Linked DNA regions of Cricetulus griseus. The protein of the gene in region 2 interacts with the protein of the main gene of each other region in a biochemical or structural test. Links are inferred from orthologs where the notes say so. Each region holds a gene or a part of one and is shown on either strand. Other genes may lie near its edges.

Evidence for each region. The genes of interacting proteins can lie anywhere in the genome.
Region 1: of the proteins of Mapk8 (region 2) and Elk1, one has a biochemical effect on the other in vitro, tested with the Homo sapiens proteins (3 studies listed by BioGRID). The link is inferred for Cricetulus griseus from reciprocal best matches to the Homo sapiens genes MAPK8 and ELK1.
Region 3: the proteins of Mapk8 (region 2) and glutathione S-transferase P 2 form a complex in vitro, tested with the Homo sapiens proteins (2 studies listed by BioGRID). The link is inferred for Cricetulus griseus from reciprocal best matches to the Homo sapiens genes MAPK8 and GSTP1.

The regions. Positions count from the first base shown.
Region 1 is NC_048604.1:125,801,428-125,805,177, forward strand, and holds the start of Elk1 (ETS domain-containing protein Elk-1), read right to left. Parts: upstream 2,451-3,750; 5' UTR 2,276-2,450; intron 1-2,275. Other genes in the region: protein UXT, read right to left, coding at 3,730-3,750. UniProt on the Homo sapiens protein: Transcription factor that binds to purine-rich DNA sequences. Forms a ternary complex with SRF and the ETS and SRF motifs of the serum response element (SRE) on the promoter region of immediate early genes such as FOS and IER2.
Region 2 is NW_023276807.1:185,993,028-185,996,677, reverse strand, and holds part of Mapk8 (mitogen-activated protein kinase 8), read right to left. Parts: intron 2,147-3,650; coding exon 2,017-2,146; intron 1-2,016. UniProt on the Homo sapiens protein: Serine/threonine-protein kinase involved in various processes such as cell proliferation, differentiation, migration, transformation and programmed cell death.
Region 3 is NC_048596.1:55,181,426-55,185,175, forward strand, and holds glutathione S-transferase P 2, read left to right. Parts: upstream 1-972; 5' UTR 973-1,025; coding exon 1,026-1,062; intron 1,063-1,174; coding exon 1,175-1,210; intron 1,211-1,346; exon of another isoform or gene 1,347-1,449; intron 1,450-1,587; coding exon 1,588-1,694; intron 1,695-1,804; coding exon 1,805-1,892; intron 1,893-2,780; coding exon 2,781-2,884; intron 2,885-2,989; coding exon 2,990-3,097; intron 3,098-3,229; coding exon 3,230-3,418; 3' UTR 3,419-3,480; downstream 3,481-3,750. UniProt on the Homo sapiens protein: Conjugation of reduced glutathione to a wide number of exogenous and endogenous hydrophobic electrophiles. Involved in the formation of glutathione conjugates of both prostaglandin A2 (PGA2) and prostaglandin J2 (PGJ2).

The sequences.
Region 1 (3,750 bases), on a different chromosome or scaffold from region 2:
TAAAACCTATAAGTCCCCATAGGACCTCCATCCTGAGGAGGAGAGACAGACAATATATGAACTGTATAGCATTTCTAACAGTGACAGAGTAGAAAGGAACAAAGCAAGCAGGGAAGAATGCTGCTGAATGCACAAAATCAGATGGTCAAGGGGAGGGGTGGATGTTGACTATTTTGTTTTCACACAAAAAGTATCCTTTGAAACACTTTTATTCATGTGCCTTTATATAATATATTCTAAGCACCAGTGTGACAAATACATGTTTCACTGAAAGAACACTACCCAGATGCAAAGAAATGAAAACAGTCTCTGAAACATCTTCTATTTGTGCCTCTGTGGCTCTGGAGGCTGTCCTGGAACTCGCTCTTGTAGACCAGCTGGCCTTGAACTCACAGAGATCTGTCTGCCTCTGCCTCTATTTGTGCCTTTCCATATTACCAACATCACATTTCTGTTAATGCATCCTTTTACACTTACTTAAGAATCAAATGGAATTCTTAGAAACATCTGTAGTGTGTTTCCTGCACAGTGTGGTGAAAAAATTCTTTTGGGTATGGTAACTGAATGGGGCCTTGGAAGTTATCATACAGAAATGTGGGAGTAGTGTTAAGGGAGAAAGAAGAGCCAGTGCAAAGGCCCTGAGGTGGGCCTGTACCTGCTGTTTTCCAGAAGCAGTGAAGAACAGGTTGTACTATGGGTCTGAAATAGGGAGGGAAAGGAGGTAAGGTCAGAGAGGTGACTGGTTTAATTAAGTCACATATTTTTTCTCCACACTGGAAATGATTATAGTTCCTGACTCCCCATTTCAGGATAGTACAGGAAGAAAGTAGTTAAGGCATTCATATAAAATCACAGCACTGCTGGGACTGGGGGATGATAGGTTTTGGACCAGTGTGGAATGGAGATAGCTGTTGACAGAAGGAACAGCAGAAACAAAAGCCTGGTAATTTGAACTAATTTGGCTGTTTAAGAATGTGCTCTCATGTGGGATGCAATGAGGTGAGAGGGGGCACTTCACAATGTTCCTTGCTCTAAGTAGTTATTGGACCATTTGTGAGTCAGGTTTTTCATCTCCATATGCCCCAGTTTTCTCAGCTGCCTGTCTCACAGGGCTGTGATGAGGACTAAGCAAGCTGGAGACTATAGAACACTCTGTCTGGTCCACAGCAAGTGTAAAGTGTAAAGGTTATCTCTGACTGTCATTAACATCAGTACCATTACTGTACTTGAGAACTGTAGGAAGGCAAAATGTCTAAGTGGATAAGAATGTCTACGAGAAAACATGTAAACTGTATAGTAAAAGTCCCTGGGTTTCTCACATAACACAGGATCACCTAAGAGATGGGGGCAGGGAAGATTGATTCAACACATGGAGAGGAGGAGGGAAATAAAGTACAAGCCCTATCTTTCTTGGGGAGGGACTGCAAGCACTGGATTCAGAAGGATATGAGAGAATGCAAACACTGAGGTGGCAGGAGGCTGCTGACTACTATGCAATAGCAGAGAAGAGCCATCACATAATGATTAAAACGAGAGACAAGACAATAGACTGGGCCGCCGAAAATTAAAAAAAAAATATATATATACAAAGCACCAAACTGACCCATTGTTAAAAGGAAGCAGCCCAAAGGCTGGAGTCTACCAATAAGGGAGAAAAGTTAGGGCAGTGTTAGCTAGAGGGATGTGAATGCAAGCATGCAGACTAATCCAGAGTAAGATGGGGGCAGCGGGAGGACGTGGGTAAAGTCATGGGTGTATGCACTGGGGAAATCAAGGGGGCAGAAATAAAAACTCAGGTGGACTCACTGTTAAACAAATATGGGGTCTCTGGAGGGGGTACAGCGCCACAGATTGACGACAACGAAACATGAGGGGCTCAATAAAGAAGGCCACAGAGGATCCCCTTAAAGTTGAGGCTAAGGAGACATGCAAACACTTTAGAAGCAGCTACTACTAAAGGAAGACTGGACAATTTAACAGACTTATTCCCAGTAAGTGGGGGTTGGGGAGGGCAAGACCACGGACGAGTCCATTAAGTTGGGGTGAGGAAAAACAAGCTCGCAGACAGATCCATTATACAGAGATAGCAGGAGGTTAGGCCACGCTCAGATCCACTATAAGGGGCAAAGGAGCTGGCAATGCACACACAGGGGAAATCAGTTGGTGGCAGTGGAGCCAAACACCGGCAGGCTGGGCCAAGCCACATCCCCTGCGCGGGGGCGAGGATACATGGGGTCACGGACGGGGCCCTCCACCTTGAGGGCCTGGGGCTCACCTGCGTGTGGCGCGGCGGTGGCAGCGGCAGCTCCGGGGGGCGGGGGCTCCATACGAGGCCCCACCGCCCCCCAGGCCCGAGTTCTAAGGCGGCGGCGGCGGTGGTAGCAGCGGCGGGAGCAGCAGCAGTGGTGGTGGCGGCGGCAGCACCCAAAAGCCGCCCCTGCGTTTCCCCAACGCTCACGTGGGCCCTCAGGGGAGGAGCCGAGCGCCCTGCTACTCGCTGATTGGCCAAAAAGTCAAGGATGTAGGCAAAGCTTTGGGGCCTGGTGGTGGAATCCTAACAGAGCTGTGACATGATTGGCTTGAAGGGGATTGATGGGCTGCAGATGGCCAACTAGAGAGGTATTGGGCGGCACTAGTGCTTCACCCTGATTGGGTCAAGGAGGACTTGTAGCCAAGTGGGCAAGTGCCAAGGTTGGGGGGTGGGGGTGGGGAGCGCGCCTGGTTCATACCGATTGGCCTAAATGAGATTGATGGCAGACAGACAACCCCAGAGGATAAAGGGGCGGTGGATGGGCTCTGCTTTCAGCTGATTGGTAGAGACACCGAGACAGCTGCCAAAACACCAAAGTAGGTGGTGCTGCACACCATGTGGTTCAGCGGAAACAGGACTTATTTAGAACAGGGAATAGCAGCAGGGTAGGGCTTGACTCTATGTAGGAGGGTAGGGTAACGCTATGGTAATTAGCTAGGCAAGACGAATTTAGAATTCAGCAGAGGTAGGAGGCCAGATATACAGGGGAGTTGAGGGGTGGAAATGAACTGTCTGCAAGGGCAGGCTTAGGCTGCAGCCTGAGTTATAAGGGTGGAACTTGGCTCTTAGTTATCTAAGACTGGACTCTAGGTTATAGGCCCTGTAGCAAGAAGGGCAGGATCTGTGCCTTTTGGTGGAAACTAGATCTATTTAGAACTCTTGGAACCATTTAGGGAACAAATCAAGGTTGTGAAAGAGAGACAATAAACCTTAAGATCTGAAGTAAAGGGCTAATGGCCATGGAAACAAATCACTTTGAATTGACACTTTTAAAATTCATTTCAAGGGTCTCATGATCTTCCTGCCTACTCCTGATCCCACTCAGGTAGACCTATGAATTTAGCACTTCATGTGTGATAGGCACTCTACCAATTGAACTTCATCCCCAGTCCATGAATTGGTTCATTGTTTATAGTAATACAAAGGGCACAGATACAAATATCTAGGAAAAGAATTAAAAGTGTGAGGAGGTGGGTCGAAGTCTACAAAATAACAAAAAAGGGCAAAGCATAAAGTCATGTGGAAAATACAAATTGGAGGCAAGATCTCTAGAGTGTTTTAGAGGTTCTACAGAAAGGATGGGTCTTCCAGTAACTTTGGTCTCCAGGGCACTTAGTCAATCAGTGAGTTAGGGGGAAAAGAAAGGCTATGTGATTCCAAGGCATTCAGGCTCTTTAATATTAGATGGGATGAAGCAGTCAATGGGGAGATGGCTCTGG
Region 2 (3,650 bases):
GAGTGGAGTTGCCATTCATGGTTTTTACCATATTAATTTTATATTCATTCAATAAACAGATTACATTAAGCACCCAGTCTGGGTCACTTTAGGTGGCTAAGCATATAAGACATACTTCCCATACTCTCCATTTAGCAGATGGAACATCTTTGTTGTCACCCAAGGTGGGGGAAGGAGTATTTGAATTCAACAAAGAAAAACTGAGGCAACACTTAAAACAGCCATAAAAGATTTTAAACTAGGTCCAGAGATTAGAAGGGGTATGAGCAGCTCTAGCAGAGGTAGGGCCACAAGCAGAACTCTGAGAAGCACCATGTCTGGCTCCCACTTGCAACAAGAAACTACAATTTCTTCCTTGATAATGACCACTCTTTCTCTGTCAGTCCCTTTCCCACAATCTAACTTTCACCCCATTTTTAAGAGTCAGTTAAAGTCTACTTCTCTGCTCTTTAAGACTTCTCAGTTCATTGAAGCTCAGAGAAATCTCCCTGAGATATCAACATGTACTGTCTGCTCTTTACTATCTGACAATTAAATTATTACTGCTTTGTGGTATTTAACTCTCATCATGTCTCACTGCCTTCAAAACTACACATAAACTTCCCAAATAATAAGCCTAATCCTTAACATCTATACATTTCACATTGGTAATTAATCTGTAACTTTAATATACAAAGGTTCTATTTGTGGCTAGCTCTCAAAATGTGATGAATTATATTTTCTACACCAGAAAGTATGGAACTAATATTTTATAAATTCCTTTGGAATAACATGTCACTGGCCAGCACTTTTCAGTTTAGTGGTTCATAAAACTGTCCTTTCTGCAATTCTCGAGTTGTTTATGTCCTCCCAGTTTGGAAACTGTCCCATTAAGATAATCATAAACATATCAATATGCTTAATGCAAACTATGCATTAGATGCTTAATGCAAACATCTAACTGCAGCCAGATGGTGGTGGCGCATGCCTTTAATCCCAGCACTCCAGAAGCAGAGAGAGGGGATCTCTGTGAGTTCGAGGCCAGCCTGGTCTTCAAAGAGAGTTTACTCCAAAACCTACAGTGAAACCTTGTCTCAAAACAAAACAAAACAAAAAAACATCTAACTGGGGCTGCAGAGATGTCTCAGCAGTTAAGAGTACTGTCTGATTTCTCTTTCAGAGGTCCTGAGCTCAATTCCCAGAAACCACATAGTGGCTCAGAAACCATCTATAATGGGATCTGATGCCCTCTTTTGTCATGAAAAACAAACAAACAAACAAAAATCTGTTCATTTTCAAATTGAATGAAAACTTTATTTTCAAGTTAGAAATGTTTTCCTTGTTCTCTGTAAATATTTCCAAATTTTAGTTCAACTATTATTATCAGTGGTTATCTGAGTAAAAGTATTGATACCACTTAAAAGAAGTCAGAATTGGGTGCAGAGAAGTATCTTGAATTTTGTGTTAAGTTTCAATGTCCAAGTACAATGGGAATGTACATTTCTGTACAGTTTTCTGAAATGCCAGCTTTACATGCAACAACAAAACTAAGATGAGAAAAATTCTGAATAAAATGATTTTTAAAAAAAATATTTATGTATATGAGTGACTTGTCTCCATGCACAGCAGAAGAGGGCACCAGATCCCATTACAGAAGGTTGTGAACCACCATGTGGTTGCTGAGAATTGAACTCAGGACCTCTGGAAGAGAAGTCAGTGCACTTAACTGCTGAGCCAATCTCCAGCCCAATAAAATGATTTTCAAACATTTCCTTAAAATTCTTTCTATAAATTAAATGCCAGGAAACTACCCAATCTAAATTTCACAACTCATTTTTTCCCCTTTTGGTACTACTTACTAATGGGGGTAAGGGGAGGGGGTGGAAGGAAGATCAGTCTGTAGATTTTAAATGTTTCAATCTAGAGAAGTAATTTAAATCTCCTAATATTAAAAAATAAAAAAGCCTTTGACAGGCATGTATTCATGAATAAATCTTGATTTCACTTACAGTGAAGAAACATGAAATATTCACTTACATTTTTGTGATTAACACATTTCATAAGAACTAGTTCTCGGTAGGCTCGCTTAGCATGAGTCTGATTCTGAAATGGCCGGCTGAGCTTCTTGATTGCAACATTTCTTTCAAGAATAGCATCATAAGCTGCACTGTAATAAGAAATAATAAAAAAAAGTTAGGCACAAAGTTCTAAAATCAAACTTATAGAGCAATCACATAGACTCCTTCCTTTTTTCACCAAGACTGTGTCACTCAAGATCAATAAGCACAGGTGGACAGGTGGGCACGTGTGCATAAGTTCTTTTTATCTTACTTTTTAAATTGCATTTAAAAAATGTATCCATTTTGTATGTATATGTTTAGGGGTGGGTAAGGGTGTCATGTGGAAGACAGAAGACGACTTGTATGAATCTCCAGGATCCACCATATGAATCCTGGAGATTGAATGAACTCAGGCAGTCAGGCTTAATGGCAGGTTCCTTTCTTTACACCTACTGTGCTATTGATATGCCAATTCCCAGTATTAGTCTGAAGTCTAAATGACTCTTTCACCTTGCAGCTCTATCAAGAAAGACAGGCTACATGAGCATGACTTCTACTTAAAATATTTACTGAGAATTTTGGGGCTGGAAAGATGACTCAGTAGTTAAGGACACAAGCTGCTCTCCCATAGGACACAGGTTTGATTCCCAGAACCCATATGGCAGATCACAACCATCTACAACTCCAGTTCGAGGGATCCAATGTCCTCTTCTGGCCTCCGTAGGTACCCAAATAGCACACAGATATATAAGCAGGCAACACACATAAGACACCCCATCCATCCATCCATCCATCCATCCATCCATCCATCCATCCATCCATCCAAATTTTTTTACAATGTATTTACCAAAGAATACTGTAGTGTTTTAATCCTTTAGGACACAAGACAGCAAGTACAGAAAGGAAGCTATACTAGAGGATGTATACAAAAGACTAAAAAACAAATCCTTTAACATTTTGTTTTGGAGGAGGAACTAAAAACTCAAAGTATTGATAAGTATGAATGCTAGATCTGAGGACCTGAGAAAAGAATAAAAACCAGTGTTTCTATTATATAATTCTGTTAAATTTTAATATTTTACCATAATTGTTCTGATTTTTTTAAAAAGAGAAACATACTACAGGTAAAGACTTTCTCTTCTGTTCTCAGAGGTAAGCTTTTATCTTTTCTACATATGTACTCAATCCTAAGTATATGGAACTGCTTTGCATATTTTACATTACATAGAAATAAGACAATATAGTATATTTTTGTGTATTGCTTTAATACTCAGGTCTATACTTCAGATGGTATCCAGGTGACATATACAGCTCCAGTTCACTTTAAATGTTGCACAGTATATTGCTGTTCGAATGTATCACATATTCTCCTGCTGCCAGACCGGATGCTGTTTCAACTTTTGCTATTAGAAATAACGCTTCAAAGAACAGCCTTATGTACATGTATTTGTGGACATAAGCAAGAGCTTTTCTAGAACCTTATAAACATGCTGGATCATAAACACTCCCAATTTCTTTTCTAACACACTTTAAACAAATTTTGTTTAAGTAGTAATAAAGATGTAATTATCCTTGGGTATGGCTTAGCATTTCCCCAAACACTAAATTATA
Region 3 (3,750 bases), on a different chromosome or scaffold from region 2:
ACACACATACACACACATCACGTACACATATACACAAATGCTTACAACACAAATATACACACACCACACCTGCATATGCACACACACATATGCATGCACACAAAAAATTGTTTCAGCTTTAAGCAGACAGGGAGGGAGGGAGAGCAAAACCCCTTCCACCATTTGCTGTTCCAAGTTTGCCTCAGTTTTGCTTTTTTTTTTTTTTTTTTTTGCTTTATTACTATGGTATGAGTGTGTATACAAGCTACAGGGGCTGTAAGGATTAGAGGACAACTCTTGGGAGTCTGTTCTCTTGTTTTCACTGTGGATTCCAGGAGTTGAACTCAGGCCATCAGACTGGGTGGCATTTCACTGAGTTTTCTCACTGACTCTGATTTATTATCTTTCCAAAGATTTTATTTTATATTTACTTGTGTGTGTGTGTGTGTGTGTGTGTGTGTGTGTGTGTGTGTGTGTGTAGATTATGTGCATGTGTGTGCGGGTGACCTCAGAAGCCACAGGCGTTGGAGCTGTAGTTAGAGGTGGTTGAGTGCTGCGTGGCATGGGTGCTAGGATCTGAACCCTCTGTAAGAGCCGTATATGCTTAACCACTAAGCCAGCTCTCCAGCCCTCTAATTCGCTGAGAGCTGCGGGTCTCTACACACTGAGTGCTGGGATTAAAGGCGTGTGCCACCCTGCCTGGCAACCTTGCCTTCTTACAATGAACATTTATTGAGCATCTAAGTGCTGTTGGCTGGAGACCTTCGTGCCTGCAAGGTACTGTCCAGGCCCCTGAGGACACGAGGGACCGTGTGTTTTTGGCGTGTTAAGGCGCGAGGCTTAGCATGCGTGCCTCTTGCAAAGCCCCAGTATAGACAGTACTGCAGATGTACAGGTGGGTCTGGTGCTCTCTGCCCCACCTCCCCTAGCCTTTGCCTGGAGCCTAATGTGCTGAGCACGGTGACTTGGCATATTCCTGGGGCAGGGCTCGAGGTCTGAGGAGGCGGAGCTGCGCTGTAAATATAAGGCCCGAGTCACCTCCTCTCATGCTGCTGAAGTTGCACCGCACTGCATCGCCCAAAAGTAAGTAGGAGCTGGGCGGTGAGGACGGGGCCTGGGCAGAGTTGACACCCCACCCCCACCCCCGCCATGAGGTCTTTCTTCATCGTGCTTTCTGTGTGTTTATCTCTTCTAGTGCCGCCTTACACCATCGTCTACTTCCCCTCTCGAGGTGTGGCCTCAGCGCTTTCAAGATGAAGGGCACAAATTGTAGTCCTCAGGATCGCTCCTGTGGCTCCTGTGGAGCCGGAGGGGCGTGGCAAAGGCCGTGCTGGGGTGGGACCGAGACCTGGGGCGGGACTACAGTTGTGATTGGTGGGAACAGAACTGCCCTCTCGGGCACCTTAGGTGGAGGGACTTTGTTACTCTTCCTTTCCTGGGCCATTGTGGAGCTGTGTCCCGCTCTCCTAGGTATTGGTAGGGCGTGGCCTCTACTCCGTGTCTCCCCTCCCAACGTTTTAGTTTGGTCCTTTTGTAAGCTTTCCATTCTTCCAAACTCTCCCAGGTCTCTGTTCAGTTCCCCAATCTCTGTCCCGTACCCTAATACAGGGCGCTGCGAGGTTATGCGCATGCTGCTAGCCGACCAGGGCCAGAGCTGGAAGGAGGAGGTGGTGACCTTGGATGCCTGGGAGCAGGGTACACTCAAGGCTTCTTGTGTGAGTGACTACACTAAAGTGGGGATGGCACTGGGGCGCAGCCTTAGGGTCCTGTGACTAGGGTTGGGGGCAGCCCATTGAGCACCCCTTACAGAGCTGTCTTCTCCCAGCTGTTTGGGCAGCTCCCCAAGTTCCAGGATGGAGACATCACCCTGTACCAATCTAATGCCATCCTGCGGCACCTGGGCCGCTCCTTCGGTGAGTCCTGAAGTACAACCCTGAAAGACACCTGACAGATGTCCTGCAAAATGTCCTACAGCAACCAATCTCTCACCTGGATAGAGGGCAAGCAGGTTACCCTAGAGGCAGGCTGCAGGCTCAGGTTCCAAGAGGCTCCCAGGTGTGGTGCTGGTCTGTCTGTGCACAGTGGGGGCTGTGAATTTCCAGTAAACTTGCATTATTTGTTCTAAATGACATCTCATAAGGGGCCACCAGTTTCTATGTGTGACAATGGAACAGGACTAGAGACTTCCCAGTAGACCTCACTGCCCATTTCTTCCTAACCTGGCCATACCCCAGTCAGGGAAACCCATAGTCACAGTGACGAGGCCTCAGCCTGTTTGGATGATGTCAGGAAGGTGGCAGAGGCAACTATTCTCTGTGGGCCTGGTTGGGAAAGGGGTGCCCGGAGTTCCATAAAGACATAATAACCTGAGGATGGATGGGTAGTGGGAGCAGTTCAGGCCAACTCCTCTTTTACAGGACCTAGAGAGCAGACCACGGCCTTGGGCTGGGGCCTGTCATCTTCTCATCTGCCTTGTGCATCTCACAATGTATGTGGATAGCAGCCTTCACACCCCGGTCTGTCTAGGTCCCTAGACAGCTTGTTCCAAGGGAGGGACAAAACAGAGTTTTTGACTTCCTTTGGTGTGGCAGATCCAGTGACAGGTGTGGCCCAGAAAGCAGGCCCAGGCTTCAGTTGGCTGTGGCCCTGGGGGATGGTAGACTCTTCCCTTGTGAAGGTGGCATGGCTGAGGTAGGCAGGACAGGGAAGATCTTCAATGCAAAGTAGACCCAGGCTTTGGTGTGAGCGGGTATTTAGGGACTAGCACAGAACACGAGTATGCTGCCTGCTTCCTGACCCAGGGCTCTACGGCAAAGACCAGAAAGAGGCAGCGCTGGTGGACATGGTGAACGACGGGCTGGAAGACCTCATCAGGCACCTTGGCCAGCAGCTTCTCCGAAACTATGTATGTAGGGACTGCAGGCTTGTGCAAAGCAGGGTGGTCAGGAAACGGAACTCACTTTTGTCAGTCTGGCTGCACATTCTCACCTGGGGTCATTTCTGTCCACAGGAGGAGGGCAAGGTCCAGTATCTGAAGGAACTTCCAAGACACCTGAAGCCATTTGAAACTCTGCTGGCCCAGAACAAGGGTGGCCAGTCCTTCATTGTGGGTGACCAGGTGAGCACTGGGTCAGGCCCTTCCCACTCTACTCAGATCCTTTCTCAGATCTGAGGCCAAGTTCCCTGATGCAGAAATGGAGGCAGGAAGCATCCAGTGTTTGGCTCCATGGAGTTTCTCTCCTGCCCATAGATCTCCTTTGCGGACTACCGACTGCTAGACTTGCTTCTGAACCACGAGCGTCTGTTCCCTGGCTACTTGAATGACTTTCCCATGCTCTCAGCCTATGTGACACGCCTCAGAGCCCGACCCAAGCTCAAAGCCTTCCTGGATTCCCCTGAGCATGTGAACCGCCCCATTTCTGCTCGCCTAAAGATATGAGCCCACCTGCTTCGCCCAATCCCTCCCCCTCATGGATCAATAAAAACGAGGGCAGGAGCCGGGCTGGGCTGTGGTGGCATACGACAAACACCCCCTTAATCCCAACACTCAGGAGGCAGAGGCAGGCAGATCTCTGAATTCGGTGTTCTACAGAGGGAATTACAGGACATTCAGGGCTACACAGAGAAATTCTGTCTCGAAAAATTTAAAAAAAAGAAAGAAAGAAGGGGGGCTGGAGAGATGGCTTAGCGATTAAGATCACTGACTGTTCTTCCAGAGGTCCTGAGTTCAATTCCCAGCAACCACATCGTGGCTCTCAACCACCCTGAATG